2 linked regions of the Kluyveromyces lactis genome follow. The main gene of each other region encodes a partner of the protein of the gene in region 2 in a complex. Links are inferred from orthologs where the notes say so. Each region holds a gene or a part of one and is shown on either strand. Other genes may lie near its edges.

Region 1 (2,635 bases), on a different chromosome or scaffold from region 2:
CAACTTGCCAAATCAGTGAAATTCCCAAAACCAATTCTCCATGGATTATGTACCCTTGGTGTGAGTGCCAAGGAACTATTTGAAAAGTATGGTCCATTCGATGAATTAAAGGCAAGATTCACTAATGTTGTTTTCCCTGGAGACAGATTAAAGGTAAAAGCATGGAAGAAGAACGATGTTGTCATTTTCCAAACTACTGATTTGAATACTGGTAAGATCGTATTGGACAATTCTGCCATTAAATTGATCGGTAAATCAAAGTTATAATTCTGGCTTTGTGTGTCAGAGAGCGTAAGCTGTAATGATTATGTCCCAACGTATATTAGTTTGTAGCAAATAATGAATAACGACCAATTCCAATCCGTTTTCTTTTGACATAAAACAATTTATATCTCTTTACTTATATACGTTTAGTAAAAGGATGGGTCCTATTTATATGAATAATGTGTAATTGAAGTGCTTTTTCGAAAGTAACGTTCTTTCGAGGGTTTATTTCATAAAATAAATAATAATAATGGTGCTCAGAAGAATATTTTAATTCCTTACTTCTAGGCTTTGGGATTGAGAATATGCTTCCTCTCGTTAAGCATATCTAGAGAGAAAGCAACCTGCAATGACGAAAGTTCAAAAAAATATCATACGTATAACGCATAATCAATTATTGAGGACTGTCTTCTGGAGCAACAACCTTAACCCAGTGGTCACCGAAGTATGGGATCTTTCTGTAGAAGGCATCTTGGAAAGTTGGCCAGCCATCGGTGAACACGAATAAACCGAAAGTAGAAGCACCACCCCAAAGAGCCAAGTTTGGAGCGTAACTCTTCAAGTTTTCAAAAGTGATTCTACCGAAGTGAGCAGCAGTCTTTGCTGATAGTTTAGAAACGTACTGATGAAGATAATTGTTTAGGGAAATATCCCTTGACACATGAAATGTTAGTAAAAAAACAGTCTTCAAAGGGCTTATATTTGCCCAAGATACATCAGGTATATGAAAGATCCTTCCTAAAGGTACTCATAACCTTACCTTTAAGGTCTGGAGATATCGGTATACCTAAAAAAATCTGGATAATTCAGTTATGAGTTTTGATCTACTCCATCTCTAAAGTCTCTTTCAAAACATTAACCACATTCCAGACACATGTCTACACATACAGCAACCATTTTGGAATAAGTATACTGGTGTTTTTCAGCTCTAAAATAGATATCTGCAACGTTGACCAAAAGCACATCCCATAGTAAAGGTATAATGCTCCAGTTAATTGAATTGAAGCTTTTTTATCTTTTTTATCATATAGTGTTGATGTCATTGTGAACGACGTGGACAGTGAGATGATTGGTTGTAGGTCACGTGCAAATAGGAAATTTGGGTACCATGATTACATATCTGTATCGGTTAACTAGTAGAACAAGGATAAGGACAGACACACTTGGCAATCAGGGACTGTTAATTATCCAATTATTTGAGTTCTGTTGTCATAGGCTGTGTCCTGTCCATATTCTTATTTTCTGGTAATAAATATGAGTAGTGTTTCTTCACTTGTGATAAGGTATCTGGCCTCTGCAGTCCATTCACATCAAAGAACTTACTGACGCAACTCCAACGATGCCACGTGAAATCTTTTGAGGCTTGGCAATTGCATCTCAATATTTCTTTCAACGGGTTATCTCTTGGACAATCTTGATTTGGATTGTGTGCGTACCCTGTATCGGGTACAAAATGGATTTGGTCAACGTCTAGTAACAAACTAAATGCAAGCGTATGAACCGGAGCATCGCCCCAACGTTCGTAGAAAAACCCACCAAGTGAGTCCAAATATTGGAAATAAGATTCGTACCCATAACTCGGGTCTTTGAATATCTTTAAATGGGCAATCTCAAAGTTAGTCCAAAAATGACATCCGTTATACGTGGCTCCGTCATCGTCCGAGATGAATTTGAAGTTGTTTCGTTTGCTGACAAGTTCAGGGTGCATTTCGAAAAAATACTTATACGTATGTTCCCATAACGTCGGGATCGTCTTTTGGTCTTCACCCATGGCCATGGCAAACCCGTATAATTTGTCGTTTTGTCTCATATGCTGGAATACATCATAGTTTATATCACATCCGAATTTCACGTAAGGTTCCACACGCCAATAGTATTCAACATTTGCTAGTTCTGGTAACTTGTAAAACAATCCAGAATTGAATCTACACATGAAACGATACGATTCGCTAGCGCCATAAGCAATTTTCTTTTTGCCCATTTCCTCTCTAACTTTGGCAGCTTTTCCACGATCGATATTATCTGGATAGTCGAAAAATTCTTTCGGAAGCGTGATATACTTTACGTTACCGCTAACTTCATTAGAAGTACCATTGATGAACTCTTCAGTGAACTTTTTATCGTTTACAAACCACCAATCGTAATGGTATTTCTTGTTGAATCGTCTCTCGAATTGTCTAATTGATTGCAACATACCATCCAATTCCTCGTTTCGCACCAAAGAAAGTATAATATCATTACCCCTATCATCAGTATAAAACTTTTCAACTGGTTTCTCGTCCTGTACCGATGATTTTGGTTCTGATTCTGGTTCTGGTTTTAACTCGGCAATTCTATCTTCGATCCCATAAGTCGACCAGAATCCATAAAT
Region 2 (2,801 bases):
GCAAGCTTCGGTTAACGGTGAAATCTAAGGGGCGCAACTTTTGAGATAAAAGAAGTTATTTAATGCTCTGATTCATTACAAGCTACATGTATATAGATTTGTATAATGTTATATTCGCGTCTTACGTATAATCATACATTATGAATGCTATTTCATACCCGTCGAATAAATTCAGGTATATATATATAAACAAAAGTACGGTATTGGTACACAAATAATGGGTAATTCTTTTTTATTATCGTATAGACATGATTAATACACAGAAACAGCACAAACAATACATTGTATTTAAATACAATTGAGCCGCATATGTGATTGATTGATGAGATTTCAAATAAGTGAGTTGAAAATAAATAGGAGTAGAGGGAAAAACAGCTAACAACAAATAAGATGAACATCAATGCGCAGATATTCACGCTTTATGGTCATATATGTTTTACCCTTTTTATCTCTTGAATCGAGTGAGATTCCGATAGCGAAAAGGATGAATGTTATGAAAATCTGAGAACATCATTCCAAAGTTGATGTCCTAGGCCTGGTAGACGTATGGAGTGCCGGATAGATAAATGTTTCCCGACAGTAGCGTATCCACATTTTTAAAATATGTTTTGAAGTGACGGTATATTCTAAGAAGTAAAATAATTGAACAAAAGCATCAATGAAAAGACACTTAAAAGTATAATGATGAGAAATGATATAATTCAAATGTCAAAAGAAACTTATTCATCGTCTTCTTCATCTTCTTCACCACCGTTCATGATACCACCCTTGATATCTTTCCATAACTTACCTTTGTTGTGGTTTTCGTACCAAGAGGTCACACCAGTATCGAAGGCAGCTTGGAAAACGAAGGCAGAGGCGAACACGGTACCAACGAAAACAGAGTTTCTCTTAAAGACAGTTTTGTACAGAGTAGAGGCGAAAGACTGTGATAATTAAGTTGTTCAGAAAAATAATTGTTAGTAATATGATCTAATATTTCATGTAGTCAATCCGCAATGATCTGGGAAAACAGCCGCTGGATTTTGCCCAGAAGGTGTCCATTCTTCACTTGTTTGATGTAACTGATATACATGCGATAAGCCATGGTCGTACTTCGAAGATAAATGTAGTATTGAGACTGCCTTTCTATTATATGGAGATATCGGTCATACCTCCAGGGAACCTTAACAGGCATCGGAAACACCACGGGATATGCAGACATTCAGCTTTGGAAGTATATTTCACTAATAATAGTATAATTGTACATTAGCATCTGCTCAATGTAATTTGCATCGTGTTTACAAACAGTTTTTTCAGTTCCCAGTTTTCGGTTTCTCAATTCCAGAAGTCAAATAAGACATCTACGCCAAAATCAATGTTTTCAGATCCAGAAAAGACGCATATCATATGTATTATCCATGACTAATCAAATCATTAACATACCATTTCTAAAACGGGAGTTCTGGTTTCTGTTGAGCTGAACTTTTTCTTATTAAACCTTGTCTTTGGCATCAGTCGAAGTTAGCTTTCCGTTTTATACATTTATCCAGTTTTTCAAAAATTTGAAGAAAAGTTCCGTACTCGGATATAATTGGGTCGTATGGTATGATATCCAGAAGTAATCACGTGCAAAAGTCTAGTACTGGGAGTACTTTCAACATGAATTATCAAAGGGTGGGACAGAGTCAGGCTACAATAAAAGATTCTGTAAGATATTGGACGGCATAGTATCCTGTGGTCAGTCCACTCCACATATTGCAGATTTATGCAAAACTAGTAAAAATATCTTATATCGATGTGTGCATAAACGAAATAACGTGCTATTCTATATATATTTGGTACATTGAAGTTGTGAATGGTGCCATAAGGTTAAGGCAATTTTGAGGTGTGACGAGCAAAAAGTTATTCATTCTACGTTATTTAACTCGTTGAAATCAAAACCTTCTTCTGCAGAACTGTATTCCGTGTCTTGATCTTCCGAAGCGTTGTTTTCGTGCTCTTCGTCCTCACCATCTTCATTGCCGTCACTTTGATCATTCAGTTCAAAGTGCTCTCTATTTCTATCTGCACGGCCGAAGAATCCATTCATTGCATTTCCTTGCAGTTGTTCAATGATATCTTCTGTAGTCGGAATGTCTGCGCCATCACCTTGCATACCCCCTCTCATGTTTTGAACAAACTCGAAAAAATCATGTATGTCACCTCTTTCGGTTGGTAATCTTATAGGGATATCTCCACCGAATGGTCCACCATTGATGCGTAATTCAACATCAGGCTGTCTAAACCTTAGATCTGGACGATCATCATTCCCAAACTCATCATCGTTCATAAGGTCCTCGTCACTGCTCTCCCCACCAGCGTTGAAAGCAGCACCAGGTCTCCAAAACATGTTCCTCGTAAATGTTCGGTTATTTGCCATCGCAACCCTGAATTCGTCCCCCATTACTCGGCTGATATAACCGGGGATACCATTTGAAATCCAAAGACGAGTTAAATGTTCATATCTAGCATGATTTAATACTGTTAGATCACCTCGTTCGATAGCGTTTCTTCCTGATTCACCGTGTGAGTTCAAATAAGGGGCCGAAATGTTGACGGTACAGTCCGGTCTACTTAAATAGAGGCACACTTGACTGATATTAGGAATTAAAAACAACCCACTGGAACCATGGGAACACCTTTCCATGTGCTTTTGCATTTCAAGGCCATCTGTACGTGCGTGAATCTTGACACCACATATCAAACAAATTTTATAATCAAGTCTGTTGACAGTATTTCTAATTTTTTGATCATTCTCTTCACGCAAAGTAATGTTTTTA

The links.
Region 1: the proteins of QCR9 (region 2) and QCR10 are in contact, whole or in part, in a cryo-EM structure (PDB 8YIN), measured with the Saccharomyces cerevisiae proteins. The link is inferred for Kluyveromyces lactis from reciprocal best matches to the Saccharomyces cerevisiae genes QCR9 and QCR10. Residues at the interface, in NP_011699.1 of Saccharomyces cerevisiae: Arg13, Asn14, Ala15, Val16, Val18, Gly19, Phe22, Ala23, Phe26, Gln29, Thr30, Val31; in NP_011864.1 of Saccharomyces cerevisiae: Asn29, Leu32, Trp33, Gly35, Ala36, Leu39, Gly40, Phe42, Val43, Glu46, Leu55, Tyr56, Lys58, Leu61.

The regions. Positions count from the first base shown.
Region 1 is NC_006041.1:1,221,833-1,224,467, forward strand, and holds QCR10 (ubiquinol--cytochrome-c reductase subunit 10), read right to left. Parts: upstream 1,162-2,635; coding exon 1,153-1,161; intron 887-1,152; coding exon 659-886; downstream 1-658. Other genes in the region: bifunctional hydroxyacyl-CoA dehydrogenase/enoyl-CoA hydratase FOX2, read left to right, coding at 1-267; KLLA0_E13861g (glycosyltransferase family 15 protein), read right to left, coding at 1,457-2,635.
Region 2 is NC_006042.1:1,408,568-1,411,368, forward strand, and holds QCR9 (ubiquinol--cytochrome-c reductase subunit 9), read right to left. Parts: upstream 1,495-2,801; coding exon 1,426-1,494; intron 927-1,425; coding exon 720-926; downstream 1-719. Other genes in the region: protein translocase subunit TIM13, read left to right, coding at 1-28; E3 ubiquitin-protein ligase UBR1, read right to left, coding at 1,889-2,801. UniProt on the Saccharomyces cerevisiae protein: Component of the ubiquinol-cytochrome c oxidoreductase, a multisubunit transmembrane complex that is part of the mitochondrial electron transport chain which drives oxidative phosphorylation.